Arabidopsis thaliana: one gene and its partners. The protein of the gene in region 3 interacts with the protein of the main gene of each other region in a pairwise test. Each region holds a gene or a part of one and is shown on either strand. Other genes may lie near its edges. The genes, in order: SPL11, LSP1, eIFiso4G2 and AT3G08530.

Region 1 (8,205 bases), on a different chromosome or scaffold from region 3:
GCCAACAGTGTAGCAGGTAAACCATGATTATTGTTCTGACTGCATTCTCTTTACTGCAAAATGCTAGTTCTGTTTAGTCGTCCAGCAATAACTTTAACATGCCCTAATGTTATGGTAGAGAATTGATTTCTTTTCTAATGTTCAGGTTCCATGCTGTCTCAGAATTTGATGAAAAGAAACGAAGCTGCCGCAAACGTCTTTCTCATCATAATGCAAGGCGTCGCAAGCCACAAGGAGTATTTCCACTGAATTCAGAGAGGGTGTTCGGTAAGAACCTACACTACACAAGTTGATATTAGCAATGTCTCTTCAGGATCTTTCCATCTGTCAATTCTCTCTTTCTCTATCACACACACCAACAACGAATTTTTTGCTTTTACAGATCGAAGACAGCATACAAGTATGTTGTGGAATGGGTTGTCCCTTAACACGAGATCTGAAGAAAAGTATACATGGGGTACCACTTATGAGACAAAGCCTACACAGATGGAAAGCGGCTTTACTCTGAGCTTCCAGAGAGGTAATGGCTCTGAGGACCAACTGTTTACTGGTAGCACCCTCTCTTTCTCTGCGTTTCAAACATCTGGTGGGTTCTCAGCAGGGAAATCCAACATTCAACTTCCAGACAAAGGTTGATATCTTCACTTCTTTACCACATCTTGTATTTGTTGTGCATATTTGCTGATGGATTGGCCTTTTTTAGATCTCTGGTTTTGAAACTGAGTAATATGTTTTGGCAGGTGTGGGAGAATGCTCAGGAGGCCTCCATGAATCTCATGATTTCTACAGTGCTCTCTCTCTTCTGTCAACTACTTCGGATTCACAAGGGATCAAACACACTCCCGTGGCCGAACCACCGCCAATATTTGGCACTTTCCCTAGTCATTTCATCTGAAAGAGTTAAAAAATGCGAAGTCACTCCATAAAAAGTCGGGTTGCATCATCCGATGGAGTTTGACAGTTTGTTTTCAAATAAAATAAAAATGTGCAACATCCATTGCTCAAGCTAAACCAGTCACTCGGTTAGCTCAGCTTTTCTTATACATTTCCAAACATATTGTCAATTTCCTTCTGGATTCTGTTGGTATGACAACTTTGTTACTCTGTCAAACATGTCTACGACTATTTTAAAACCATTTCAGAGATTATTGATGTTGTAAGTTTTTGATATTATTTTTAACTTCTTTGCATAGTGAAAGTGAGAATTATGAAAGACAACTTCTGCTTTTTAAAAGGCACAAAATCTGAAAAAAGTTTGATTTGTGGTATTAGAGGCAACCATTTCAGCAAACATGAACATTCTCTTCTGGTGTTTGGGGGAAAAAGATTCATTCTACTTCCTCAAGAAGGAAGAGTGTCACTATTGAGCTCCAGGGTTTGGTTAGTGCAGTTGAATAATAAGTTGAATTCCCAAAACTTGGAAAGTCAGAAGGAGGAATACACAAAACCGTTAAAATGAATGGAGAACCAACATACACTCGATGAGCACTTTTGTGGAAGTTTCACCAACTAAGAAAATCTTGCAAGGACACCTCCTCTTATGAAACACTTGGTAGGCACTTTTATAGCATGCTCTTTCCTACTTCACTCCTTAAGGTGCTTCCCACAATATTGGAGGAGTTCAAGTCTGAGAAATAAAATCTGACTAAGAAATGATCTCTGCTTGATTTTTGTACTGTGCATGTTCTTGTATTGGTTCCTAGCCTTTTGTCTCCTCCATTTTGTCAAGAAGTTCCTCATAACTGCTATAGCAAGCGACAACAATTTCTCACAGACCACATGGTGACAAGATACATTAATTTCAATCCTTGTCTTCTTTTTCTATTTGACTTCAACATCAATCCCATAGACACATGGTTCTTTCTATTAATTTACACCCCTTCATACTCATCAGGCTTTGTCGTTTGGAGTCTCTCTCCATATGAAATTGATATGTAATTTGGTCCCCTCTATAGGTTTGTACTTAAAACCTCCAAAACTTGTCATCTTTCAACTTTCTATTTCTTTTTACTCTTTGATCTTTCAACAATCATGGAATGGGTGTCTCTTTCCTTCAAAAGCCTTTCACAATCATTAATTGGTGTCTCTTTTCAATTTGGCTTCTATTCTCTTCCCACTTCTCATTGTTTTTTTCTTTTCTGTGATGTCTCTTATCTTCTACTGCAGCCTAACCCATCAGACAGTAACTACTCTGATACCAAGTTGATACAACACTGATTTTGTATAGATTTTTATGCTAAAATTACAAAGCGCCTGATTTTGATAATGACCCTTAGAAATCCTTAAAACTCTGTTGATTTTCATCTGTTGCTAACGTTCATAAAAAGAGTGGAACTCTTTCTTAGTTGAAAAGATTTACCTACTCTTACAGCTTCTCCTTGATTTGCTATCAATACAGAGAGATACATTGAAGAGCCTATCCGAGGTATATAGATATATTTACTGTTTATAGAGTTTTGTTGACAATGACTTTGTTACTAGGGTGTTAAACAATGATAATGATAACGATAACATAGTTATAGTAGCCGAAAGTTTGGCATTTAACGGGATCTAGGACGAGGTTTTTATCATAGGTTTGGAAAAGTATCCACCAACTGAGTAACAGGTTTACAAATTACACATTACTTACTCATCTATTTTGGTACAACATCATATGAACAGAGTAGAGAAAATGGCTGCACATGTGGTTGGGCCAGGGGATCCGAAGAGGTTGACAGAAGAGAGAGAGCACGGTGGATATCTTGAGATTCATGGAGGACTCCTGAGTATTCTCCCACATCTGCCAAAAGATTTAACCAATTGTTTAAGGACTAGAGATCAAATCAACAGATATTTACTCCCTCCACATATTAAAGGACTAGTGAAGAAGTGCATATACCAACCTTCGCCATGAAGTTGAAACTTGGACTTTCCTGCTGGGAACCCACCTGAGGTTTGAGATGTAGAGAACATACGGCTGCTACTAGCAACCAGCTGGTCCTCAGAGCCATTACCTCTCTGGAAGCTCAGAGTAAAGCTTTTTTCCGTTTGTCTAGGCTTTGTATCATAAGTGTTATTACCCCATTCATACATTTCTTCAGATCTCGCGTTAAGGGACACCCCATTCCACAACATATTTGTATGCTGTCTTCGATCTGCAGGAGTAAACACGTTACATTAGATTTCCATGAATGAATTGTGTGTGTATGTGTGAGTGCGTGTGGTAGAGACTGATGGAAAGTCCTGAGGAAATATTGATTACATCAAGTTGCAGTATAGGTTCATACCATACACCCTCTCGGGATTCATTGAAAATACTCCTTGTGGCTTACGACGCCTCGCATTATGATGAGAAAGACGTTTTCGGCAGCTTCGTTTCTTCTCATCAAATTCAGAGACAGCATGGAACCTGAATATTAGAATCATGATCAACTCTCTACCGTATAATATAAATAGGAGCATGTAAAAGTTGATTTGACACAATCAAACTGAATGGGCACTCTACAGTAAAATCTAAAGAGAATGCAACTTAAGAATTATTGAGGCCAGAACATAACCACCGGTTTTACCTGCTACACTGTTGGCAGAACCGACGTTCCAGGCCACTCACGCTAACTTTTGGGCACTTTGAATGCTTTTCGCAGACTTTGTGCTTACGATGATAACCCTTAGCAGATGAGAGATCCAGTTCACAGCCATCAATTTGGCAACGCGGGACTGGCATGCTCTGACCACACAATTTGGATTTCCCAGCGACAACAGATGGAGTTAACAACTTCATAGAAACCGCTGAAATTTCATTATTGTTTCTACCCCAGTATTCTTCAGAGTATGTCCGCTTTCCTAGTTTTAAACAAAGATCTGATTCAGCTGAGGCAACGGATACCTCGAGAGCTGTGGGAGCCTTCACCTGGACAAAGTCTATGTTGCTGCAAGAATCTCCAGGGGAACTTTCTGATGCAAGCTTGCATCGTTTGGCTTCGGGAGATGATGAGTTGATAGAGGTCGACTGTGAGCTTTTCGATACAGCAGTGTGCCAGAAGCTGGTGGCAGAGCCACTACTGACTCTCTCAAGGCCTGAGAAATGTGGAACTATAGATTCAATTCCTTCACCTTTTTCAATTTCCCACTCAGTAGGTAGCTGTTTGCTGTCATCTTCAGTCCTTGACGGATTGGACATGATCAAATGCTCCCAATCCCACTGGGACGAAGATACCATGTTGCAGTCCATTCACGATATGGGTTGATTTCATAGACCTACCACCAGAGCCAGAGCAACAAATCCTACAACAACTACAAGTTTGCAGAACTTTGATTAGTAAATGAGAACAAAAATCATATAAGAAAAGACTAGACAATCAATCCTATATATAACTCTGGCTAGGCAAATAGATACCTTATCGACGACACCCTCAACTACCAATACTATAAGTAAGATAGAAAAAGAAAATTCAAAATTCCAAGGACCAGACAAGGCTTATCAGCGTTTATTGCTCTCACCCTTTTATCATTAACTTGAGCAAGAGAAACTTTTCTATGTTTCACCCAGACCAGCAAAAAGGGCAAGAGAGGAAGGGTATTACTTTTCATCTTCTCATCTCCATCACACAAAAACTAAGTGGCATTTATTGAATTGGTCCTACACTCCTCAAATCAAAAATTTCCCCAAAGTATCTATCAGTAACTTGTCAAGAAACACGATGTACACATTGTAATTGCAAACCCTTCCCTACCCATTCCTCCTTTGTACTTGGAGAAGGTTCCTAACTAACTTCCTCAAAACCAAAGACTAAAAAGCTTACAACTTTACACATTGAATTAACTATATGTCAAAGAAAACGGCAGCAAGCTCAGCCATTAGTGGACCTATCTGCAGCAATAAAGATTGAACGATAAAAAAAGTGACAGTAAGTTAGGTTACGATCCCAATCAAGGTCCCTCCCTCGCAAGCTAGGGTTTTCGATGAAAGCAAATGGTCCCCCCAAACCAATAAGTTCAACTAACTAACGAAGAGATTAAAAAAAGTTACCAATGTTTCAATCAAATTCGTCATTTTGACAAATTCTCTATACCTAGAGACCATTCACCTTGAAGGTAATTTTACTGATTCGTCGATCTATAACTAGTCTAAGAGGCATAAAGCTGAATTTTACAATAAATAACGAAGACGCCCAAATCTAAGAAGCGCAAGTTTTGGAAAAATTTGAGGGAGTAAAGAGTACAAAACCTCAAGTATGAGAGGGCCGAAGAAATCTCCGGACGTCGATGATCGGAGAAGATGCTATTGACTAAGAAATACAGTGAAAGGGACGACCATACACCAAAATCGCCTGAGGAAAATCGAATGAGAGTAGCTCAGAGGAGTCTTTCCCACTATTTTTCTTCAACTGTTTTGCCTTTTTTTGTTTTTTGGGCTTTCGTATTTATTTTGGTGTCTAATTTTTAACTAATACTAGTATATGAAACGAATTATATTTTTACCAACACAGATTCGATTCTATATCGAAATTGGTTATTTATTTCAGGCCTAATATGTAGGTACAATCATATGGACAACAAAATGATGAAATATTTGTAAGTTGTAACTAATTTTAGGCTCTCTAAAATTAGATGTAAAACAAACAAAAAATGCAAGTAACAACATTATAAGTAAGAAAGGTCAAATTTATATTGTTGGATCTTTCTTCATATTCTTATCGGTCGCTAATTAAACATGTAAAAAGCCGCTGAAAAATCGAATTTGTATGTTCAAAACATTAATTCAAAAAGGCTGCAACTCTTTTCATTTGTTAGAGAACCTAGTACCTACCATTCATACCTAGTACAATTCGTGCAAGTTTTAATATCTATAAACCTCTCTTTTACTTTCACAAGTACACTAATACTAATATTTTAGAGTGTCCATCCCCGAGAACATCACAATTAAATGAAAATTTATTAGACGTACGATGAACTGACTAAGATTAGTTTAGGGGAACTATATATTTTAAATTAAATTAAAAGCATTACTAAACATGAAATTATGAGTTTGGTCGATATACCGTTAGTACATAGTACATAACACATAGTACATTCCATTCATTTGTACTTTTAGTACACATGGCTCTTTGATAGACACAAATTTTAGCTTTTGTGGAATTACGTGAGTCTTGTTTGCTGTGATGATGTCAAGAGAAAGTGATACTAAAATATAGTCATGGGGTTTTTACAGTTGGACGAGATTTTTACACATTTTGCTTTGTCATTTTACAAAACGAAGTAAATATGTATTTCCAACTATACCATTATCATATCATCACCAAGAAAATCCAATGTTCTGAGATTCCTCTTCATATCCACCAAAACAATCATATTCAAGAAAAACTATTATCAATCCGAATATTATGAGTCTTCAAGACCATATATGTGCGTTTTTGTGGAAGACCGTGCATCGTTTGAGATGCCACACTCTATGAGCCTGCTTCGAATAATCGAATCCTTAAACTCTCACTAAAAACACGGATCATGTATTCATATCCAATCAAAATCTATCCACCAAAGAACACAATGTTCATGAACGGTCTAGGAAAAACAGTCCGTAAAACCAAGCTCTCTATAAGTTTATAGGTTACTACTACTAGTAGAAAATTAGAAATCTAAAATGGTTGTTTTGGAAATACTGACCCCAAAGAGGTTCGTGCTTTGACTTTCAAACACGTCCGCTAGATTTTCAGTAGTTGACATGACACGTCTGTTTTTTTGTCCGACGAGTCTCAATTCTCGAGCCTTCTCAAGCTCTTAAAATCTCAAATAACGACCCAATTATAGACGGCCACGTAGATATCACACGTCTCAATACCCAATCATAGATGGTCTGTGACGATGTACGTTGTGAGAATAGCAAGACTGAATCTCTTTTTAGGTGGTGAAACACAGATGTAAAAAAGAGAGATATATTGAAATCAAGGAGACAAAAACTTAAGAAAAAAAACCAAAAAAAAAAGAGAGAGGTGAAATTGATTTTCTGCTCGCGATCGTCATTTCAATTTCTAATTAGCTTTCCTGGTGTTTCTTCTCCGGCGTAATCATGGTATGAATGCGATCTCGATCTTTGCCTATAACACTTAATATGGTTTTGTTTTGTCGATTGCATAATGAGGATCTGAATTCATGTTTGATTGGCTTAAGATATGCTTTGCAGCTCCGATCTGAGTCAATATGTGTGGTATTATCAATGATTTTGAATTTTGAGTCGGATTAGCTTTACGTTATGCCAAATTGAAAATTTTAATCTATTGATTAGTTGGAAAAGATGGATCTGTTTTCGAAATTTGAACAGATTAGCTGAGTTCTTATCTGCATTGTGTCTATTGTTCTTATGATTCCGATGCATGGCCGAATTTTACCTGATCTTAGCCCAATTTCTCTGCTAATTTGCACAAATACATGAATTGGTACCCAAATTGGATGCTTTGTTGAATGAAGAGAGATTCTGATTTTAGTAATATGCTGCATGATCTGGAAATAACCATTACTAATGCGCAGAGGCAGATGTATAATGATGCTTCTTATTACTGAATGGGGTTGATTTTAAAAATTGTTGCAGACAACCTCAAAAAGACTAGCAGACAGGAAGATTGAGAAATTCGACAAAAACATTTTAAAGAGAGGATTTGTTCCTGAGACCACCACCAAGAAGGGCAAGGATTATCCCGTTGGTCCCATCCTTCTTGGCTTCTTTGTCTTTGTTGTCATTGGATCATGTGAGTAACCTCTTCTTCTTATTCCAATGCCTAGCTTTACTTGCTCAGAACTTACTACTCTATGTTGAGGGCACCAAATAGCTTCTTAAAGTTAGGCTTCACGCTTCTTGATTTGGACATTGATGTTAGTTCTACAATTTCTTCTTTGTCCCATGATATATAACTCCAGTAACGAGCATAGTCTGGAATCTGAATCATTTGATTATACTTTGTGTATGCGTATGTTACTATATTTGTTAACCTTCTACATGATTTGTTACAGCTCTCTTTCAGATCATTAGGACTGCAACTAGCGGAGGCATGGCATAAACCAAAACACAGTCAAGCTAGAAGAAGCAGTTTTCAAAATGTAGAATCTTCTTCTGTCTCCTTTCTTTTTCTCTCCTTATACTGTAGAATGTGTCAACTTTCTGTTTACTATATCATGTAATGAAGATTATTTGAGTTTTTTATAATCCAAGTATCCAACGCTTAAGTATGTTCT
Region 2 (7,192 bases), on a different chromosome or scaffold from region 3:
CTTTTGGTTAAATATAGTAAAAATACATTTTCTATTAAGTAGCTTTTCTAAATATTTATAAGATGCTGATTTGATGGGATATTTATAGTATAATTTAGGAACAAATTTGGAGTTATTATGCCTACAATCTGGTAATTTTGACTTACAAACTTCTTAAAAATGAAAAAGTAATTTGATTTAAAAGTGAGACTATATTTGGCTATTTTTCTTATTTTAATCTCAACAATTAAATCAAAAGGAACTTTCAATATTAAATTGACCATATTGAGCTAACTAATTATAAAATAGATTTGATTAAGTGGTAATGAGGTGGCACTCTAGATGGAGGAGTTTATTTTGATTATATATAATTTCTATATTAAATAAAATATAATTTTTAATATTAAAGAGAATTGACCATATTAATAAGAAATTTAAAATAAATATATTATATATTCAGATTAGAAACAAAAGAAAATTATACTGAAAAATCATCTAGTCTCTTTGTAAGTTCCTTCCCTAAAGTGGTTGATCACTAAACCACCTTATTTCTTTTTTTCTTTTTCTTTTTTTTAGCAAGGAACCACCTTATTTCTTTCTTTCTTTTTTGACAGCAAAATACAATCATCCATTTAAGCTAGAAACCGACGGTTTCCTTCAGGTGAGAAGTAAGAACCAGTCCGGTGTAGAGGAAGCTTACATGAGAAAGATAGAATCGCGAGATCTTGCCTTTTTAGCGAAGTATTCATCGCGGACATTGTTTAACGTGGAACAAAAGATAGAGAATAAATGAGGAAACCCAAGTTTTAACATACTCAAATCTTCTAACTCCGAAGAAGAAAATGTGGGCCACTCATCGGGAGTGTCCAAGACCCGAATAAGCTCCTTGCAATCTATCTCAAAAGAAACATTGGAATGGATGATGACATGAGGGAACACATTGCCAAGAGAAGAGCTTCAAACTCTATGTGAAGGAGAGATAAACAATGGTGAATGCACTTTAAGCCAAGATTAGAGAAATGATGATCAAAACCAACAATCCATCCTAAACCACATAAGGAGGTTGTGTTTACTCATGACCCATGTACCTGGCATGTCAAGCAATCTCTGATAGGGGAACGAGCGACTAAGTCTTGGGTAGGTGGTAGCGAATCAATAATCTTTTCCCGGCTTCTTGCCACTCGTAAAGATTTCGCCTCTTAGCTTGCAAGCTGAATGGTGTCTGCATGGTGGACTTCTATGTTCCCAAAGACTTTGGAATTGCATGCTTTTCAAATAAACCATATAATCCAAGGAAAGTATTTTATACTTTCTTCGCTTCCGCCGAGTTCTTTCGTTCTCCAGAAGAGGTAATCTAAATTGTGTAAATCGAGGGTGCAAGGAAGACCTTATTTGTTCCTAAGTGGCTATCAAAAAGCACATGGTTTATGGTCTCATCACACATTCACAGTGAGGGCGCACCTTATTTGTTCCTAAGTGGCTATCAAAAAGTTGTTGGCAGGTAGCTAGACATCTCGTGGCAGTTTGCCAAAGAAAGTGTTTAATTTTTCTAAAGGATTGGATCGTCCATGAATGTTCATGTAGTGCCTTAACATTGGGTTACTAAAAGGGAGGCAAAATCTCCTCAAAGGCAAGCTTTTGTTGCCTTGAAGCCGGATCTGACAGTGTAATTGCCAGATTTGTATGGACCCAGATGTACGAGTCTCTCAAAAAGGCATGACTCAGATGTAGTCTAAGAATGTGGGGTATTTCTTATGTAGCTATCAATTCTTGAAGTTTTTCCTGCTTTCATGCCTCAATGATTGGGTCTATCAGCGATAACGTATAGGTTAGAATCTATTGATGTCAACTTACTTGTCATTGGGCACTCTAGTATGGTTGGAATCCATGGATCACTCCAGACTCTGGTGTCGAACCCTGAGCCAATGTTTTTCCTCAAGCTTGAGAGAAGGAGTGGTCTAGCCGCAAGCTTATTACGCCAACCATAGGAGGGTAGATATGACGGCTTGACGAGAAGGGGGCTCGAGTAGCAGAAGTACATTCCTCTTAGGACTCGCGCCACAAGAGAGTTTGGATATTTCATTAGTCTCCACAACTGTTTGGCAAGGAGGGCTAGATTAAATTCTTCTAACCTTCTGAAGCCCAATCCTCCTTTAGATTGTGGGAAGCAGAATTTGTCCCACACAACCCAATGGAGACCTCTACTCTCTTGGTTGTTGCTCCATCATAAGTTAGAAATTTCACTGTTGAGTTTGGAACAAATGTTTTTTGGTAAAAGGAAACTCGACATTACATACATTGGAAAGGCTTGTGCCACTGATTTGATAAGAACCTCTTTACCTCCCTTAGAGAGTAATTTTGACGACCAAGTATTTATTCGGTTTTTTAGACGATCTTGTACAAAAGCAAAAACTTATGCCTTGGGTCCATAGCTCTTTGCAAGGAGTCCTCAGTAGGTGCCCATACCTCCTTCTTGGTGGATACCTAATATCCTTTTAATATTTGCCTTCTTTTGAGGATGGACCTTGCTTCCGAACATAACTGAAGACTTGGAGAAGTTGATTAAAATTACCAGATTAAACAACGACTACATATCTACCAATGCAATAATAGAACCGTACGACTCCAACATAAGACAAAACACTAATATCCAGTTTGGAGAAAAAAATGATTAATTAAACCATATGAATCTGAAATTTGTTTTTCCAAAACTTGTTTAAGAACTTTTCATTGATGTAAATTGCAATCTCATAGTTTTGTTAACAACAAAATGAACTGTAAACCCAATTTCAGACTCGTGTTTGTTCAATCCTAAACATGTTGGTTTCTTTCCTGATTTGGCTATATCTTTTTATAATTAATAACAATGAGACTATGATAGTTTATTAATTAAAAAAATATACAATATATTAATCAGTTCGGGTAGCCGATTTGGAATTGAAGAAATGTATTTAGTATCGAGTATTAATTTATAAACATATACTAAAAATCTTAATCAAATTTTTTTCCTTAATCCAAAATCTCTAAGCTTTAAAAGTTCAGTAGCCAATTGACACATTGTTTGTATTTATAATTTCAATATGAGTCCATCCTAAACCTAAAATAGATTTAAGCAACTTGTAAGTGAATATTTAAATAATCAAAACGAATTGTTATAAGGTTTTTTGAACCATTTTAGAGGACCCAAAAACTGTGAATCGGAGATGGAAGATCCACAATTTGTAATCGACCATATCTCCTTGTTCAAGCAACTTTAAGATAAACTCAAAATGGTATAGACTCTTCCTGAAGAAGAAATCATAATCTCACGGCTATATAAAAAGAGGATAAAACTAATAAAAGACTAAACTACTGCTTAACTGCAACAGTATTAATTAAAAAGGTTCAAAATCACAGTACAAAAACAATTAATACAAAGGAAAATCGTGGAATCCTGCTCTAAATCAATTTTTTACCAGATTCTTGAAATTTACCTACAAAGAAATAAGATCTTGTAAGATTGTAAATTCATATAGTGATAATTACAAATGCGATAGACATGTACTAACACTATGTGATCCAACAAAATACAAAAGAGAAGCATTAGGGTGTTGCTAATAAGAGTATATTATCTCTGTATTTGTCTAACAAGTGGTGGTTTCGAAAGAGATTTATATAACTCAACTTAATTTATAACAAAAAATCATTTTAATGAAACAGAAAACTTTGTAGAGTTTACACCTCAAAGTGAATGTCCCTAAATGTCTCAGCTATTTGAGTAAACCGACCAAACAGTATCACAAAAAAAGCCATATTGCATCTTCCTCTGGCTTCACACTCGTTTCTTCAGACAGTGAACCGGCTTCTTCTGGAATCATCCTGCGTATAGACAAAGATATATTAAGCCACATGAGATCTAAAACATGTACAAAAAGATGATAGCTTCTTCTTTAGAGAAGTGTAATTACATGGTTATTGAAAGTTATCTTGTCGGTGACATCAAGTATCTCCTTCCACTTCTTCCCAATACCCATCTGAATTACAATAACAAACACCAAGTAATAAATTCATCAGATAGATTCATAAACCAATCTTAACATATTGCCAAGTTTTAAAACAGATGTCCATTGACAAAGATAGTTATGTTTATAATGCCAATGAACTATTATATTTACTATTATGTTTATAAGTCGCAACATATAACCTTAACATTAAAAACAACAATTTTACTATTGCAGAAGTATCTCAATCATCAGAAGCTGGTAAAACTCTCAAGGACAGGCAACAAAGCAAGTTAAGCATCAAAACCCACTAGCTATATAGTTCTCTGTGTAGCATTAAGAATTCTCGTAACGAGTGTTAGTATTTTCTAAAGTTTACCAAACTAAATTTGGATATCCCACCAACAATCATAATCATGAATAGCCAACACCAGCATCAATATAAACATAGTGAGAAGACAAACAAACATCATACCAGAACAGCTTCATTAGACTTCGTCCTAGTCCACAAGGAGAGCTTGTCTTGCTTCGACTGTGGACGGACACTAGCAACCACACCACAAATCTCATCTGCTTCATCAAATTGCTCTCCAATCAAAGCCATCAACTACATATCATAAGAAATAGAACCAGTCACCAAAACCACATATCATCTAACAAAACACAGAAGAGTAAAAGGTTAGGGTTAGGGTTAGAATGTAATACAGTTTCAAGCCAGCCTTTGTCTAAAGCTTCCTTCCTATTAGCAGTAACAACCCAAGTCCACTTTCCTCCATTAGCACACTCTGGATCTTCCCACTTTGGCTCAACACCAGCTTTGAACAAGTGAATTTCAGCATTCGCTGTCAATTTGCTAGTCTGAAATATAGTCTCGTGCAATCTAACAATAACCAAAAAATTAACATCCTTAGATTTTCGGATCCATACACATAGATCGAGATTCACAATAACCATAGCTTCTATACAAATCCCAGATTTAGAAGTTACAAAGCAAGGCATTGACAAATATTGAAATCAAAGGAGAAGAGAGAAAGACGAACCCCCAAAAATCTTCGACGGTGTCGAAAGTATAGGCTTTACGAAGAGAAGCTCCCCAGGCGGCGCCTTTCTTTGATTGGTTATCGAACCAGAAACTCCACTTTCTTTCGAGCTTGTGTGGTTGTTTCTCCGCCTCTGTCGCCGGTAATTCCGCCGCCGCCGGGAGAGGCTCGTTCACATCATCGGTCGCCATATTCTTCGCAGTTGAGTTTTCTTCTGAGACGGCTTTTGGTTACGAGAGAGGGACAGAGAGATTGTTTTTGAGATGTATTTTGGAATGGTTTAAGAAGTGAAAAGGGCTATTTCTGGACTCTATTGGGTCAATTTTGGGCCGGTCCATCAGAGCATTTAACTCTTCTTTTCTTCTTTTTTCTTTTTCTATTGTCTTTTGGTATTTAAAAAACAAGTAAAAATAAAAATCTCCAAAATTAATTGCAAGTGGAATCCCAATAGACAAGGGTTTAAAGTATTTTTTTTTACAACAAGGTGTTGTTAAAAAAAAAATAAAAAAAAATACACCAAGGTATGAGATCTAATTTCCAAATAGCGGAATTTCTTTCATATTGTCAATGCAAAATCTTAATTAGTAGTATCAAATTAGAAAATATTGTTTACATTAGAGGTTCTAGAGTAATAAAAGATATTTTATTATATAAAGCATGATTTTTAAATTTAGTAATTCATATGACTGTTACATGTGTTATTTTTGTAGATCTTAGATTTTGGTACATGTAATTTTATTATAAATTTTAAAATTTTTAATATAAAATAAGATAAATTAAAGAAACAAAATAGTTTTAAAAATGTAAATAAGATTTTTATATTATAGTTCCAAATATAAATTAAAAAAATAAAGTTATTATAATTCCTAATCTTTTTCCCCCAAAAACAAGAAAACTTACAAATCTCTGCTTGATAAACTCATATACTCTCACTCGCCGCCTAAACTTCGGCGACGTTTGTTTGATCGCCGTCGTTCTCTCTTAAGACGAGAAGAAGTGGCAAAAACTGTACATTCTGTATCAGTTACCGCATAAAATCCGGCTACTAATTATATAGAGGTGAGTATTTGAAATCTTTTTCCTTCTAAGATTATAATTAATTGTAAAATTCCTTTATGTATTATATTTAATATAATAAGATCGTTTCCTTAAATCCTTTTTAAAATTTTTAGGAAGACGGTAATCAATTTTCTTTTAGAATTAGTAATTTCAAATTAGAATTAGTAATTGATTTATAATTTCTTTCAGTAAGATACATATAATTATCTTCTTTACATTTTTATTTCTTTAAAATAATATGTAATCTTATATTTTCTATCTTTGTTTGATAAGATACATATAATTTTCTAATATTTATCTTCTTTCAATTTTTTAAAATTGTTTTATATAAGATATATTAATATTTTACTTTGGTTTTTATATTTATATTTTTACTCATTTAATAAAATTGATAATAAGATTACATGTGTCAAAATCTAAAATCGAAAACCATACTTTATATAATAAGATATAATAATAGACAATTCTCAAAAATACCACTAAGATAAGTTTTTTGTTCCAAAAGTAACACCATCAGTTTTTTTCGTAACAGTACCAGTAAAAGATACTTTTTTTGAAAATCCCACAAAACTAAAATTCACCTATAATTTAAACTTTGGGTCTGCATTTAATATTTTGTGTTTAAATTTTAGGGTTTAGGATTTAGTTTTGAAGGTTTAAAATCTTTAGAAATCATTTTTAGACTTTGTGGTATTTTTGTACTAAATCGTTTGTAGAGGCATTTTGGAAAGAAAAAAAAACTATTTATGGTTTTTTGGAACAAAAACTTAGCTTAATGCTATTTTAGTGTATTTCTCTATAATAATAAAACTATGTTACTTTTAGTGATAAACCTTCTATTTTTTTTTTTGAGACTCAATTCAAATCAGTTTGTTTAGCATGGTTGACAACAAAAAAGGGTGGAGTTAAAGCAATTTTTTATTTGCTAGTGCTTGTGTCAAGACCACCATCATTTTAACAAAAAAAAGAAGTAAAAACTTAATAGCTTTAATTTGCTCATAAGTAAAAGATAAGACATCTACATTCTTCTAATTTGATAATTGGCTCAATATGAAATGCTTAATGTATGTCAATTTTGGGCCGAACCACCATAACATTAACACTGCTTTTCTTTTCCAATTCTCTTTTGGTAAG
Region 3 (8,498 bases):
CATATTTAGATACTCACCTGTAGTCCATCATTTTAACAACCGGAGGATCTGCATCAGGCGATAGTATAACCTGAAAACCAACACAATCAATCATTTATAGTTGGTTGGTTTAGTTACACTAGAGACTCGGTGTAGCTAAATTAATTTATGAAGTTCTGATTTGCTTAGTAAAGAGAATTTTATATATAACAATGTACATTCTCTTCTTCTTGAAGAAGAGAATAACATAAATCATTCACAACTCTTATCCAAATTCTGTTAATCTAATACGGTATCAGAGCATATCTTCTAATATTTGCTTTGATTCTAGTTCAATCTTCCATCTATTAGCTCAATTTCACTGATTCGAGTTCTGACTCATATCATACAAAAACCATTGCATATATCAAATAGCTAATGTCCACAAGTAAGAGCATTTCAATGGAAACACATACCAGATCAAGTTCAGCATCATCAGCCATTCGAACGGCTTCGTCTTTAGACACTAAACCAAGCTATAGAGAGCAAAACAAACTGGAAATTTATGAGTCCTATTATGCAGAATCAAAGCTACAATTCGAAGAATTTGAGTCACATTTACCATGTTTTGTTGCCCATCGATAAGCCTAACAGTAGCTGACCTACTCAAACATAGACATCATCATCAACAAATCGAATCAGAAAGAAATTTTCAATTCACGATTAGGCTTAAGAATCCTCACCTAATTGAGGAGATATCAAGAGCTTCATCAATTTCAGCTTCTTTCGGCCTACCTCTTCTATTGTCTCCAGAGAATCGATAACCTCCACCACCACCGCCGAAGCGGCAAGTGACGGCGAAAGCACGGCGAGGAGAAGGAGTGAGATTAGTGAAAGACAGTTCGGTTTTGGAGAGACGAAGACTACAGAGTTTGGAATCAACAGAGAAGAGTGAATGTGATGATACTGTTTTGGTTATTCCGGTGAAGACGGCGTTGAATCCAACGGTGCTGCTGGTAATCCCAGCCATGGCGCTTCTTCTTCACTCAGAGGTTTCAAACCATCACGAAGCTCTTATCCAGAAGAATAAAACGCAACGGAGAATGAAACTACGTCGTTTCCAATGTTTGGAAGCTAAACGTCAATGTTTTTATTAATGGGCTTATGGGCTTTAAAACAAAGGGCCCAATTACTTTTTAGTTTTTAGGATTTTTATTTTAACATCTAAACTAAAACCAGCATAATCACATTGAACATGGGAGAAATTTGAGGAATATCATGTTCCTAATTTTAAAGGGAGTAAAATAAAGTTATAATTTGCAAAGGAATCTATGCATATAAAGTTATTTTTTTATTTTTTAAGAAATTATAATCTAATAAACCAACTATATTTATTATTATACATATGTATATTTGTCAAATTTACTTAAAAATTCATAATTTTAGGAAACAAAAATAAATAACTTATAGATAGAGGTAATCTTTGAATTAACTAACTTAACTCATGCAAGAGCCATGCCAACAACACTTTTAATGATGCAACAAAGATTTTTATTTTTATAGTGATGCAATAAATACAAAATAATTATGTCTTCATTTCATAAGATTTTCCATCAATTATTTTTCCCAAAAATTAATTATTTTGTGTTGGAGATTATAGACAGAGGATACTTTGGTAATTAATTCTGTGAAAGTAGACTTGTATTTTGATAATGATGCATTAAAAACAATATTAAGTCTTTATTTCGTAAGATTTTTCCATCAATTCTTTTTCAATAAATAAAATTATTTTGATATACAGAATATTTTCGTAATTAACAATAACATTTACACGTGAGAAGAAGAAAAGGAAATTAGGGCAAACCACAGAACACAGCTTCAGCCAAAAAAAAAAAGGGAATCGAAGTGATTTTATCTTCTCCACCGTCAATACAGACACATATATATACACTATATACCTCTATCTATCTGCAAAACTTTTTTTTATTGAATCCTTCTAATTGCGAAAAAACAAGAGAATCGAGTAATGCAACAACAAGGTGAACCATCGGTTTTGAGTTTGAGACCCGGCGGTGGCGGCGGCAAAAGCAGGCTTTTCGTCCCTCGCTTTAGCTCCTCTTCCTCTTTTGATCTTACCAATGGCGGCTCCGAAGAAACCCCTTTTCCCGTCAAGGTAAATACATTGAAAAATCCTCTGTTTCTCTTCAATTTGGTTTCGCAATTCGAGTTTAAACGAGGATTGGATTCGTTTCCATGATTTTGAATCGAATTTTGTACAAAGTTTGAATTTTTAGGGTTGTTGAATTTGAATATGGACAAAGATTGATACTTTATGTTATGTAATTGAATCCTAAGCTCTTGACATTTTATGTTTTTGTAGAGAGAAAATTCTGGTGAACGTGTGAGGTTTTCCCGAGAAGAGATACTTCAGCACAGAGAGGTATTTAACTTAATTCTCTGATTCTGTTTTTGACTTTGTGAACCAAATCATTCACCTTTGTGTTTTCTTGATCGCAGTCTGTTCAAGTCTCTGATGAAATTCTTAGACGCTGTAAGGAAATCGCAGTTGAGCTTTTTGGCGAAGAGCAGAGTTGGGGGAATCATGCAGCCGAGAGTAAAGTAAGTGTGTGTCTGTGTGTGTGTGTGTAATCCTCCTGTTTTGGAATCTGTCTTTTAAACTTTCATTCTTGGTTTTGGTCTTATTAGATAACAAATCATACTCAGCATCGTCATACCGAGACTGATAACCGTGACTGGCATAGTCGTTCTCAGATTCCAACCTCTGGTAAAGAATGGTTAAGGGACGACCCTCGTGAAGCCAAAAGTACATGGCAAGGGGTAAGTTTTCGTCACTTGTTATGTGTTGGCATATCATTACTAGTTTTCTCTTCTTGCTAACATGATCATCTTGTGAAACAGTCTGGTCCTACCCCTGTGCTGATTAAAGCGGAGGTTCCGTGGTCAGCTAAAAGAGGAGCTCTTTCAGATAAAGATCGAGTCGTTAAGAGCGTGAAAGGGTATTGTCAACAACTAATACTATTCTTTTCAGCTTTTGTGTTTGAAGGTTGATGTGATGTATATTCTGACTGATTCTTTACAATTTTATGCAGTATTCTAAACAAGCTTACTCCGGAGAAGTACGAGCTTCTTAAAGGTCAATTGATTGACGCTGGCATCACTTCCGCAGATATCCTAAAGGTTTGTTTCAATTCCTGATCTCTATTGTTGTAGTTCTCTCTTTCATGGTATTGATTTGCTCTTACCTTTGATTGCAGGAAGTGATACAGCTAATTTTTGAGAATGCTATACTGCAGCCCACATTCTGCGAGATGTATGCTCTTCTGTGTTTTGATATTAACGGACAGCTACCTTCGTTTCCCTCTGAGGAACCCGGTGGGAAAGAAATAACCTTTAAAAGAGTGCTTTTGAATAATTGCCAAGAGGCATTTGAAGGTGCTGGCAAATTGAAGGAAGAGATCAGACAGATGACTAATCCAGACCAAGAAATGGAAAGAATGGATAAGGAGAAAATGGCAAAGCTCCGGACACTTGGAAATATCCGTCTGATTGGTGAACTTCTCAAGCAAAAGATGGTGCCTGAGAAGATAGTTCATCATATTGTTCAGGAGCTTTTAGGAGACGATACTAAAGCTTGCCCAGCAGAGGGAGATGTTGAAGCTCTCTGCCAATTTTTTATAACCATTGGGAAGCAACTTGATGACAGCCCACGATCTCGAGGTATTAATGACACGTACTTTGGTCGGTTGAAGGAGCTAGCAAGGCACCCTCAGCTAGAGCTGCGTCTCAGATTTATGGTCCAAAACGTTGTTGATCTTCGAGCTAATAAATGGGTACCAAGGCGTGAGGAGGTAAGATTTTATCATTCCATCTCAAATCTTTTAATAACAGTCTTTAGTTCTTTATCCGTGCTTACGTGTTGTTGTACTTATTCAATGGCAGGTGAAAGCGAAGAAAATCAATGAAATCCATTCTGAGGCAGAGAGAAATCTTGGGATGCGTCCGGGTGCAATGGCAAGTATGAGAAACAACAACAACAACCGCGCTGCGGTTTCTGGTGCAGCAGACGGTATGGGCTTGGGAAATATCCTTGGCCGTCCTGGTACTGGAGGAATGATGCCCGGCATGCCGGGAACTAGGGTGATGCCTATGGATGAAGACGGCTGGGAAATGGCACGGACCCGGTCCATGCCCAGAGGCAATAGACAAACAGTGCAGCAGCCGCGTTTTCAGCCACCTCCTGCTATCAACAAGTCACTCTCAGTCAACTCAAGGCTTCTTCCTCAGGGTAGCGGAGGTCTCCTCAATGGTGGTGGTAGGCCAAGCCCTCTTTTGCAAGGTAACGGTTCTAGCTCAGCTCCTCAAGCCTCTAAACCCATTCCAACTGTTGAGAAGCCGCAACCACGGTCTCAACCTCAGCCACAGCCACAGGCAGCTCCTCTGGCTAATAGCCTGAACGCAGGAGAGCTCGAGAGAAAAACCAAGTCGCTTCTTGAAGAGTATTTCAGTATTCGTTTAGTGGATGAGGCATTGCAATGCGTTGAGGAACTAAAATCTCCATCTTACCACCCGGAGCTCGTCAAGGAAACAATCTCGCTCGGTCTAGAGAAAAACCCACCATTGGTTGAACCAATTGCCAAACTCTTGAAACATCTGATCTCTAAGAATGTGCTGACATCTAAAGACTTAGGGGCAGGTTGTTTGCTCTACGGTTCCATGTTGGATGACATTGGAATCGATCTGCCAAAAGCACCAAACAGCTTCGGAGAGTTCTTAGGGGAGTTGGTCTCAGCTAAAGTCTTGGATTTCGAGCTGGTGAGAGATGTTCTGAAGAAGATGGAAGATGAGTGGTTCAGAAAAACCGTACTCAATGCAGTGATAAAGAGTGTTCGCGAGTGTCCATCGGGACAGTCTGTATTGGATTCGCAGGCGGTTGAAGTTGAGGCATGCCAGAGTTTGCTCTAAAAGTAAATTGGTTTGGCCGGCAAAGTCTTAAAATGTTTACTTGAGGAGTAGTCTGAATCATTTTTCTTATATAAGTTTTGAGTTAATATCACATACTTGGAAGATTTGGTTCAGTTTTGTTACATCTTTGTTTTTTTCGTTCATCTTGAGTTTTGAACATTTCAGGGTGAGGAGAAAAAAAAACACAATTTGTTGATTGTTATCTTATTCTTAGTGCCTACACAATTTTTGTCTTTGACATTAATAATCTAATTAATTGTGGGATGCCTTAATTCAATTTCAATCATCGTTGAAACTCACTCAGGGTAATGGTAAGTATGGTACTACCATTATATAAATATAGTATGTATTAGGACTAGGGTAACATATAACAATGAAGATTTGATTGTATTCCTCACTGTTGGAATTCTCTTCAATATCGAATGGACTAGGGTAAATATAGTAATCACTGTCACTATCTTCATCAAAAGACTCCACAACTTCTTCTTTCTTCTTTCCTGGAAACAACTTAGCAAAGCAAAACAGGAAAGAAGAGAAAAGAAGTGTGAAGTCTTCAAGTGATGCAATAGCTAACAATGGTTTTAAACTTTTCTTCCTGTTTTTGGTATTGTCGTCTTAGTCATCTTGAATTCAGAATCACTGTCAGTCTCTGTTTCTTCACCAAGTGTCTTTGTCTTCTTCACTGTTCAGAGAAAAAACAGTGTTTTCTTTTTCCTCTTCCACTTCAGTGACTGCTGAGCTAATTTCTTTAGCTGTATCATAGCGCGATAGATACTGACCTTTAATATGAGGGCTCCATAGGCAAATAGTAATTGGGCATTATGCATTCATCATTCATCAAAGTATATAGTAAAATAAACCACAATACCTGTGTCTTAAAAAAAAATGGTATTATTATCTCCAGGATACAAGTAAATTACACTTTAAAGTACAATATGTGTGCTCAAGAGCAAGAATCAATCAAGAGGTCAAGCAACATAGTAGATTGGGCGTCTGTATTCATCAAAATACTCATCGCGGTGCAAGAAACAAATTGCGTAAATTGCGTATATTATTCCTGGTAAGTAGCCTAAGCAAGTCAGTATCAAACAAATGAAGAACTCAACCTACAAGTTAAACCAAAAAAACATGAGTTAGGAAAAACAAAATTTAAAAATTTTATTTTTTAGTCCCTTAATTAGTGTTTCTTTTTAACAAAAACACCACAATTATATTTTCAGTAATTGATCTCCACATTCATCATATTGATTGGTTCCCGTAAACCGGAGTGCAACCAATTTCAATTTAAATAACCGTAATCAATTCAATTTCAACTACGGTTTCGATTTCTGAAATAAGAAGCTGTGAAAGTTCAGAGATCGATAGAGAGAGATGAAACTTACAGTGCAACAGCCATGCCTGAGACAAACTCCGACAGGAGGAAGAAGAATTGCGATGAAGATCTCGCAGCAAAGCTCGCAACTACTCGCCATTAATTTACGGAGATTAGATCAGATTTGATGACTTGAAAAAGAGAAGAAGAGAGAAGCTTCACGAAACAAACAACCACAAATATAGTAGGTGTTGTGTCCAGCGACGTGAATCTTAATAATTAAGATACAGAGTGTACCGCGAGATCTTTAACCGTTTATTTTGCGGGATTTATTATATCCTACGGTTCGTTGTTGATATCTTTTTGGGTATTGACGTATGACGTCTGTTTATTGGTTGACTCACGGGAGCTTTGGTATGGCTTCACTTACCATACTCTTTCATTATTTAATCTCATTCCAGCTGATAAATGATATTACTAGATGAGCTACATTGCATTATCTTGGATTATAATTGTGCCAAGAAAAATTTGAAATTTTTTTAGTTGTAAATACAGTTAAGATTATTAAGATATCATTAAATTTAACACATGCACAATTTAGTCATTTTGATATTAAATACATCGATGTGAATGTAAATTAACAAATACAAAAGAAAAACAAACAAAGTTACATCAAGATAGGGAATCCATATGAAGAACCAAATATATAAACAAACAACAGCCGGAAGCATCCTCTAGATTACAATATTTGGATGCATAATCGAGATGCACCATTCAAATAATAAAACGAATAACACCCTAGTTGTTCGAATATGAAAAGACATACTACACTTTTTAAAGAATATAGGACACTCCAATCATTATTAACTGAGTTTAAAATGAAAATATGTCATTGTTATGATGCGAGTTAAGCGGCTTGAACTAATCGCTAGAACTTATTATATATTTCTTCTGTTGCATGAAGTTTGATGTTGTAGGTTTTTTTTCACAAAAAATTGATGGTTTGTATAACATTATTATTACTTTTAGCTGTGATTAATAGAGAAAACAGAGAAATAGAATTAATATTATTAAACAAGACAAAATAATAATCAAAAAGTATAAAAAATACCTTTTTTAATTTGTGTAAAAAACCTACAATACCAAACTTATGAAACAGAGAGAATACTACTTTTTTCGGGACGCCAATGATTTTGCCGCTTAGCTTAATAGTAATCATATGTGAGAATTTTAATCGGTGATATATTGGTAGGCAGAAAATCATCTCCATAAATTAAAGATAATTGTTCAACCACCTAAAATACATTAACCTAAATTTTAAAAATCGTTTGAAATTCTCACTTCACAAGTCAAATCCCTAGTAAGTTAGTAATCTTATATAGACAAATCGAAAGTTGAACACGATTTTAAAATTTGGTTGAATGTTTCAAAGTATAGAATTTTTGTAAGATTTTGTTTTAAGAATCTGTTTGAATTTGAATAATGCGGGTCAAACCTCTACAAAGTTACAAAAAGATAAAGATTGAACAAAGTTTTTGAATTTGATTAAAGCCCTTGAAAGATTAAAAAAAATATTAGCATAATTACCATCTACAATACATTGACTAAAATTTAAAACTTGTTTTTGGTTCCACATAAACCAAATCCCTAGTAAATTAGTAACTTTACATAGAGAAATCCGCCAAAAATTGAACACGCATATAATGTAATAATTGTAATCTCTTAAAATATTAAAACTCCCTTTAACATAATTTTTTTAATCTAAAATACATTTATTTTAAATTTTTGTTTGAAACGCCACTACACAAATCAAATCCCTAATAAATTTGTAATTTTATATAGAAAAATCCGTCAAAGATTGATCACATAATGTAATTTAAAATTTTCAATAAAACAAGTTTTTAAGGAAAATAGAAATATATTTAAATCTTATCACAGGTCAAATCTCTAATAAATTAGTAACCAAATTTGCTAAGTATTGCATATGATTAAATTCCATATTGTTTTTAAAAAATCTCTTGATATTATCACAAGATTCACAACAGTGAAAGAAAAAAGGGAAAAAACAGAAAAAAAAAAGCTATCCCTGTTATTTAAGAAAAGTGACCGACCAGAAGGTAAAAGCGATTACAAACGATAACCCTCTTTCTCCGCTCTCTCTCCAAATTTTGAATTCGATGGAATTCAGATACAGAGCCATCGATAATAATCGCCCACCTCCTGCGACGGACACGACACCATCTCC
Region 4 (7,600 bases), on a different chromosome or scaffold from region 3:
GTCAAAAAGTAATTTGGATTATTTCGTGTTGCTTCTTTGTACATTCCAAAATATGTATCTTTTGGAAGATGATCATAATTCTTCTTGAACATTGACACCTGCTTGCACCACACATATCTCAGAAGTAATACTAACATAACAAACAAATATTAATAAACCTACTCTCTTACGTAAAGACAGTAATAAACTGAATTATACCTCTGTAAAAGGATCCTTGATATCATCTCTTTCTACGCTGCTTTCCTAAACAACAAAATCCAAAAGCATTATTCATAGCAAAGGCCAGATCATAAAAGAAACTTTAGACTCACAAAACTAGCTGAAAATAAGCAATGCAAGAAGTGTGAATGAGATATCACTCACGTAATTTGGAAATATAACCATATCCACATTTGGAGGAACATCAAGCAGCAACCGTCTTAGTGAGTACTCACGAGCACCTGCTGGGTATATCAGCTCATCAGTGTCAAGATGAAGTATCCAATCCATGCCCGCATCCTGATATTTAGTAAGAACAAGAAAAATGAGAATGTAACATGAGACATGAGTCAAAACTGAACCAAATAAGGTCTAAAAGAAATACTTACCCTAGCCATGACAATAGCCATTTCCATGTTGAGAGATTGTTTGACAAATAACTCATAATTGCAGGGCTTATAAAAGAAAGACGAAAGCCAGGTCTCATTCCAAATCCGGCTGATGAAACAAAACAAAAAAGAATGACAGTAAAATGATCAGTAGTAGAAAATACAACAAAACAATGCTACAATTTCAGAATATACAACAAAACATGTGTTTAGTGCCTTGAAGAGCTATAGCTTTGTCGCAAATATGCAATGGGATAACTAACTAACCTCTTCGCTTGCTTCTCCTCAAGCTCTTTCGTCCTGTATATTACTTTAACACCCTGCAAGAGACATGGGACTACATTTATCGAAAACTGCATACCTTAAATACAAATTTATACCTACAGGACTAAAGAGCTAGAGATATACAGCCAAAACAAAATAAACAGTGGACGCGAAGAGAGGTAGTTCAACTCACAGGAATAGACTCGAGCACTTTAGAAATACTCGGAGTAGCAGCTTTCCCTTCAACGAAAAGGAAGAATGTTGAGACGCCTAGAACCTTATGGTAGAACATCCATGGTAGAATCTGATCCAATCCAGCTGATGTGCTAGTCGTGATACATATCTGTAAACAGTAACAATGTCAAGAATCATATACAACATGGAGCACAAAAAGTGAGGTGACTTTACAAAGACAGATCTGATCAAAAAATGAACTTTGGTATTTCTCAAATCTCTATAATCCAATAAAAAAAGAACAACTTGATATTTCAGATTAGACATTGTAGTAAGATTTAAGAAAAAAAAAAGGAATTTGGAAGTGTAGATCGATCCAAAGACTTGAAATCAGGGGAATTGAAAGTAGTAACCTTAGGCTTTAAGCTAGTATCAACACCAAACTTCCAATCAGCATAGTAAGGAAAAGAAGGAGAAGAGCTGCGAGCTAGATTTGAGCAGTCGGAGGAGGATTGGTGAGACTTTGGGGAGACAGATGAAACAGTCTCCATGCCGGGAAAGACCTCGTGATTGAGATCGGAGCCGCCAGGAACCGACGTAGAGGAACGAACAGAAGCAGAGGCAGGATCGGCGAGACCACCGCCTCGCCATTGGAGGATAAAGGCGAGACAAGCAAGGGAAACTGGAAGTAGAGTAAGGAGAAGGAGGAGCCTAGAGACGAATGAATGGTTTTGGGAAGAAGATGAAGATGAGGAAGAAGCAGATATTAGTGGAGCTCTGTGATGGTGAGTCGATTTCATGGTTAGCTCCACCACTTTGAAAAACAAAAAAAAGTTTCGGAGGAAGAAGACGAAGAAGAAGAAGAAAGACGCGATTCTGAGATCTTTCTTTTTATTTTATTTTCGTGTTTTGGTCGTCTGAGATCTCATCGGTAAAATTAAACTTTACTAACTAAATCTAATTGATTATCAATTCATCTCATTTTATTATGTATAAAAATTGGGAGATTTTCTTCCATTTTTTTTCTTAATCTTTCTCAACTGGATTTGAATTGATAGATTGGAAACATGTACCAACACAAAGAACAGAAGCAATTACACAGGGAGAAACAAATCTCCACACACTAAGCCACTATAAGCTAATAACAACAATAACCTATACAAAACAACAGAGCCATATAACAAAAAAAAAACCAATTCAACCAGGGGAAATGACTCTTTCATCACAGAAAACTGAATGGAACCAAGACGGATGACTTGATGCAACATACAATTGCAACCTGCAATCATCAGTGATACTCTATGACATAATATTCCTTCTTCTTTTGGATCAGATTAATTAAGTTTTGTTTCTAATTATTAAGTCATGACACTTCTTCCATTCTTAATTATTAAGTTTTTTTTTTCTTGTATCAAATCTTTAATTATTAAGTTTTTTAAAAAAAATTATTAAAAGTCATGACACTTCTTCCATTCTTAATTATTAAGTTTTTTTCTTGGATCAAATCTTAATTATTAAGTCATTTATTGTTGTTTCACCTAAGGTACCTTCATTTAAAAGCACCAATTAAAATATTTCACGTGTCGTCTCATTAGAAATTCGGATGCTTAGAGCCCAGTAAGGACCGATATGGGCCGGACCTGGTTATAAATGTAAGACTCTAATTGGATCGCTGTTCGTCATTACTTACCCATATATATTTGTTATTCTTCTTTTCTCAATTTTCTTTCTCTTTCCATCACCTTTCTCGTTCACTTGCTTCAGATCTGGCAGCGATTTCATTTCTTCTCCAGTCTTTCTCTCGTCTCGGTTCTATCTCCTGGCCATTGGCGGTCAGGACTTCTCAGCCGTATATTTGATTCCGTCCCCGGATTTACTCTTGCTGTGATCTGAGGTCAAACATGGCGGCTGCCAACGCCCCCATCACGATGAAGGAGGTCCTGACGGTGAGTTCTCCTTACTCTTCACTCTTATCTTTGAATATTTAGATGTGTATCTCCTGGAATCGACCGTGATTTTCTACGATTAAGCTCTGTTCAGTCTCTTGATTGATTGATTCCAGTTTCCTACTGATCTGAATTCTGCTCGATCGTTGTGTTACTCTCTAGTTTTTCCGGATCGCTTGTTTGGGAATGCATGTTTCTGATCAGATTTCTCTAACTATGCTCAGATCTGTGTTTCGTTAATATATCAATGCCGAATTTCAAGTTGTTGTCTGTAGCAATGTGCTTATGTACTCGGATCTCATAACTAAATAAATGAACTATTTGACGTAACGCTTCATCTTGATTTTTCCAGCTTCCGAGCATCGGGATCAATCAGCAATTCATCACGTTTACAAATGTTACTATGGAGTCTGACAAGTATATCTGTGTACGAGAGACGTCACCGCAAAACAGTGTTGTAATTATAGATATGAATATGCCGATGCAGCCTCTTAGGAGGCCTATTACTGCAGACTCTGCTCTTATGAACCCAAACTCGAAGATCCTTGCCTTGAAAGGTACTTGATTTTTTCCTTTGATCTAAAACCCATAACGGTTTCCTCGAATTCGTAGTTCATAATCCACTTATCTTGATGTTCACTTTTTACTTCAATATTTATGTAGCTCAAGTTCCAGGAACTACTCAGGATCATCTACAGATATTTAACATTGAAGCCAAAGCAAAGTTGAAATCACATCAGATGCCTGAGCAGGTGAGTGTTGATGCAAATATATTTGAACTCCATTATCGTTCCTGCTATACACTTCGTATAACTCTGAATTTTTCAGTCGGGTTTTTTTTTGGATAATAATGTTTCATGTTTTTACAGGTTGTCTTTTGGAAGTGGATTACACCAAAGATGTTGGGGCTGGTCACACAGAATTCCGTCTATCATTGGTCAATTGAAGGTTGTATATTTCAGCCTACTGTCATTTTCTTCATATCTTGTGTTTTCGTTTCTAATTTTCCTTCGGGTTTTATAGGTGATTCTGAGCCAGTTAAGATGTTTGATAGAACAGCCAATTTGGCCAACAATCAAATTATAAACTATAAGTGCTCTCCTAATGAGAAGTGGTTGGTTTTAATTGGAATTGCTCCTGGCTCTCCTGAGGTAAGTTTACTGCGCCACATATTAGGTCAAAAAAAGACATCAAAACTGCTTTCATGTTGTAGATTCTTGACTGATCTTGTCATTATTATCTGTTTTCTGTAGAGACAACAATTGGTAAAAGGAAATATGCAGCTTTTCTCTGTGGATCAACAGCGGAGTCAGGCCCTTGAGGCACATGCTGCATCGTTTGCGCAGTTTAAGGTAACGTCTTTGTTCTTTGGTGAGTTCATCTATGGTCTAATCTTGAACTGTAGTTTGACTTGCAACACTATTAATATTAGGTTCCTGGGAATGAGAATCCTTCTATTCTTATATCATTTGCAAGCAAGAGCTTTAATGCTGGGCAGATAACATCAAAGTTGCATGTCATTGAGCTTGGTGCCCAACCTGGTTAGCTCCCCGACGCAAAACTATATCTTCACTGTTATTTAATATAATTGGTTACGTTTTCTAGGTTGTATTCATCTGATCTTTAAAGGTTGGCGATTTTTTTGCAGGAAAACCATCATTTACAAAAAAACAAGCAGATCTCTTTTTTCCCCCTGATTTTGCTGATGATTTTCCTGTTGCCATGCAGGTTTGCTATTGCATTAGAATTTCAGTTATATGTGTAAGTAGTTAGTGACAATTTCTGGCACTAATTTCTCATTTTCCTGACAGGTCTCTCACAAATTTAACTTGATATATGTTATCACCAAACTTGGCCTGTTGTTTGTGTACGATCTAGAGACTGCTTCTGCTATCTACAGAAATCGGATTAGTCCAGACCCAATTTTCTTGACTTCTGAAGCTTCCTCAGTTGGGGGTTTCTATGCCATTAATAGGCGAGGACAAGTTCTTTTGGCTACAGTAAACGAGGCTACCATTATACCTTTTATTAGTGGCCAAGTATGCTAATCTTTTATGCTATTTTCCCGTTATAACCTACCCTTTTCATCATGTCATGCTAAGAAATCTATGCTTTTGTATCACAGTTGAACAATTTGGAGCTTGCTGTCAATCTTGCTAAAAGAGGAAACCTCCCAGGTGCAGAAAATCTGGTATGCGATGTTTATCATGGATCTGTTGTCTCGGTGAAGTAATTATATAGTTGTTAAATGGCAGCTTGAAGAAAAAAAATGTCATTTGGTATTGTGAAGTTTCTCATATTCTGCTCGGATGTTGTAGGTTGTCCAGCGGTTCCAGGAGTTGTTCGCTCAAACAAAGTACAAGGAGGCTGCTGAGCTTGCTGCTGAATCTCCTCAAGGAATTCTAAGGACACCTGATACAGTGGCCAAATTCCAGGTGTCTATTTCATATCCAAGCAACTATGTGTAAACATGTTTATTTATGATGAAATGTTGGTAACACCAATTTTTCAACTCTATAATTTTGCAGAGTGTTCCTGTACAAGCTGGACAAACTCCTCCATTGTTACAGTATTTTGGGACTCTTTTGACTAGAGGGAAACTCAATTCATATGAGTCACTGGAACTATCTCGGCTGGTTGTGAACCAAAACAAGAAGAACCTCCTGGAAAACTGGTTGGCAGAGGATAAACTAGAATGCAGTGAAGAACTTGGAGACCTTGTGAAGGTAATCTTGAAATGGACGATTTTATTCAAAATGTGTGATATGTCTCCTATGGTGTGTTGTGACGATAAACCTTTCTGTTCCAGACTGTGGATAATGATCTCGCTCTGAAAATATACATCAAAGCTCGGGCGACTCCAAAAGTTGTAGCAGCTTTTGCAGAAAGAAGGGAGTTTGACAAAATACTGATTTACTCAAAGCAGGTAAGCAATAAGATCTATAGTATAACCTCTTCTATTATTTTTACCCTAAAGTTCTGTTGTCTCATGAATTACCATTGTTTCATATTGTGACTTCAGGTTGGGTACACACCTGATTACCTGTTTCTTCTGCAAACCATACTCCGTACAGATCCTCAGGTTAGTGTGGTGCACTCTTGATACTTGCAACATACTAAACTATGAAAGGACTTTACTGAATATATGTGGCGTAAGCACTGGAAGAGTTATGAATCAACTAACTTGTTGAATAATTTGACCTGATGTTATATAGAATGAAGAATCTTTTTCCCACCGTATTAATATCAATAGTCTTTTAATTTTTATTTGCAGGGAGCAGTAAATTTTGCATTAATGATGTCTCAAATGGAAGGAGGTTCTCCAGTTGACTACAACACCATCACTGATCTTTTTCTTCAGGTAGGTCAATATATTCTGTATGCACCAATATTTGTAGCTCATTACTTGTTCTACTCCTATATACAGAATTGTATACAGTAGATGTAAATTATCATGTGCTTATTTGTCTATTTGTGCATATTCAGAGAAATCTGATCCGTGAAGCGACTTCTTTCCTTCTGGATGTGCTAAAGCCAAATTTACCTGAGCATGCTTTTCTGCAAACTAAGGTTGAAAATAGTTGCCACCTTGTATCTCTCCGTTTTTTTCTCTACTCACCTTCTTTCCCCAGACTGTTTAAATCATTTTTCAACACAGGTTCTGGAGATAAATTTGGTAACTTTTCCTAATGTGGCTGATGCGGTATTAGCAAATGGGATGTTCACCCACTATGACCGGCCTCGCATTGCTCAACTTTGTGAAAAGGCTGGACTTTATATCCAATCCTTGAAGGTTGGTACATGTTTTTTACCATTTTTACCGGCCAAATAGATTTATCATCTTCTCACCTTCCAACTTCTTTTCCTTTTGATTTGTGCAGCATTACTCAGAGTTACCTGATATAAAACGTGTAATTGTAAACACACATGCTATCGAGCCACAGGTAGTGCCTCTGAAATATATTTTGGTTGTTAAACCTACTAAGTGGTCAAGTTGTTGCATAACACTCTGCTCCATATGCAGGCTCTTGTTGAGTTTTTTGGCACTCTTTCTAGCGAGTGGGCTATGGAGTGCATGAAGGATCTGTTGCTGGTCAACCTGAGAGGCAATCTGCAGATAATTGTTCAGGCAAGTGGTGTATGATATGATGAATCTTATTGGTTATTTTGACACTAACGGTGTCCATACAATTTCAGGCTTGCAAGGAGTACTGTGAGCAACTTGGTGTTGATGCATGTATTAAGCTCTTTGAGCAGTTCAAGTCATATGAAGGGCTATACTTTTTCCTAGGTTCATATTTGAGTATGAGGTGATATAGATAAAATCTGATCTCGTTTCTGTAAACAAGCACGATTCTTGTATTTATATGCTTATGTTTACAATGTTTCTCTCTGTGCGATAGTGAGGATCCTGAGATCCATTTCAAGTACATTGAAGCAGCTGCCAAGACTGGTCAAATAAAGGAGGTTGAGCGTGTAACTAGAGAGTCTAACTTCTATGATGCTGAAAAGACGAAGAACTTTTTGATGGAAGCTAAGCTGCCTGATGCACGACCTTTGATAAATGTCTGTGATCGTTTCAGCTTTGTGCCTGATCTTACTCATTACCTCTACACAAACAACATGCTT

The links.
Region 1: the proteins of eIFiso4G2 (region 3) and SPL11 interact in a two-hybrid assay, tested with the Arabidopsis thaliana proteins (one large-scale study listed by BioGRID).
Region 2: the proteins of eIFiso4G2 (region 3) and LSP1 interact in a two-hybrid assay, tested with the Arabidopsis thaliana proteins (one large-scale study listed by BioGRID).
Region 4: the proteins of eIFiso4G2 (region 3) and AT3G08530 interact in a two-hybrid assay, tested with the Arabidopsis thaliana proteins (one large-scale study listed by BioGRID).

What each region holds. Positions count from the first base shown.
Region 1 is NC_003070.9:9,498,144-9,506,348, reverse strand, and holds SPL11 (squamosa promoter-like 11), read right to left. Parts: upstream 5,456-8,205; 5' UTR 4,211-5,455; coding exon 3,549-4,210; intron 3,389-3,548; coding exon 3,267-3,388; intron 3,135-3,266; coding exon 2,883-3,134; intron 2,780-2,882; coding exon 2,634-2,779; 3' UTR 2,326-2,633; downstream 1-2,325. Other genes in the region: SPL10 (squamosa promoter binding protein-like 10), read left to right, coding at 1-16, 146-267, 383-631, 741-895; AT1G27350 (Ribosome associated membrane protein RAMP4), read left to right, coding at 7,046-7,048, 7,565-7,721, 7,984-8,030. UniProt on the Arabidopsis thaliana protein: Trans-acting factor that binds specifically to the consensus nucleotide sequence 5'-TNCGTACAA-3'.
Region 2 is NC_003076.8:13,821,142-13,828,333, forward strand, and holds LSP1 (Eukaryotic initiation factor 4E protein), read right to left. Parts: upstream 5,263-7,192; 5' UTR 5,191-5,262; coding exon 5,000-5,190; intron 4,840-4,999; coding exon 4,665-4,839; intron 4,567-4,664; coding exon 4,435-4,566; coding exon of another isoform or gene 4,429-4,434; exon of another isoform or gene 3,993-4,428; coding exon 3,927-3,992; intron 3,838-3,926; coding exon 3,805-3,837; 3' UTR 3,700-3,804; exon of another isoform or gene 3,480-3,699; intron 3,453-3,479; 3' UTR 3,283-3,452; downstream 1-3,282. UniProt on the Arabidopsis thaliana protein: Recognizes and binds the 7-methylguanosine-containing mRNA cap during an early step in the initiation of protein synthesis and facilitates ribosome binding by inducing the unwinding of the mRNAs secondary structures.
Region 3 is NC_003071.7:10,221,943-10,230,440, reverse strand, and holds eIFiso4G2 (MIF4G domain-containing protein / MA3 domain-containing protein), read left to right. Parts: upstream 1-1,742; 5' UTR 1,743-1,984; coding exon 1,985-2,131; intron 2,132-2,338; coding exon 2,339-2,398; intron 2,399-2,475; coding exon 2,476-2,577; intron 2,578-2,664; coding exon 2,665-2,796; intron 2,797-2,877; coding exon 2,878-2,975; intron 2,976-3,068; coding exon 3,069-3,156; intron 3,157-3,233; coding exon 3,234-3,827; intron 3,828-3,918; coding exon 3,919-4,941; 3' UTR 4,942-5,216; downstream 5,217-8,498. Other genes in the region: AT2G24060 (Translation initiation factor 3 protein), read right to left, coding at 18-70, 435-494, 581-620, 702-988; AT2G24040 (Low temperature and salt responsive protein family), read right to left, coding at 5,910-6,047, 6,324-6,413; AT2G24030 (zinc ion binding / nucleic acid binding protein), read left to right, coding at 8,431-8,498.
Region 4 is NC_003074.8:2,590,738-2,598,337, reverse strand, and holds the start of AT3G08530 (Clathrin, heavy chain), read left to right. Parts: upstream 1-2,683; 5' UTR 2,684-2,926; coding exon 2,927-2,971; intron 2,972-3,323; coding exon 3,324-3,528; intron 3,529-3,634; coding exon 3,635-3,723; intron 3,724-3,840; coding exon 3,841-3,919; intron 3,920-3,994; coding exon 3,995-4,122; intron 4,123-4,224; coding exon 4,225-4,323; intron 4,324-4,403; coding exon 4,404-4,512; intron 4,513-4,619; coding exon 4,620-4,699; intron 4,700-4,782; coding exon 4,783-5,010; intron 5,011-5,096; coding exon 5,097-5,162; intron 5,163-5,289; coding exon 5,290-5,406; intron 5,407-5,499; coding exon 5,500-5,697; intron 5,698-5,780; coding exon 5,781-5,897; intron 5,898-5,993; coding exon 5,994-6,053; intron 6,054-6,245; coding exon 6,246-6,332; intron 6,333-6,457; coding exon 6,458-6,541; intron 6,542-6,629; coding exon 6,630-6,764; intron 6,765-6,852; coding exon 6,853-6,915; intron 6,916-6,995; coding exon 6,996-7,100; intron 7,101-7,168; and 3 more. Other genes in the region: KOB1 (elongation defective 1 protein / ELD1 protein), read right to left, coding at 1-98, 199-243, 364-498, 588-696, 855-907, 1,045-1,194, 1,439-1,825.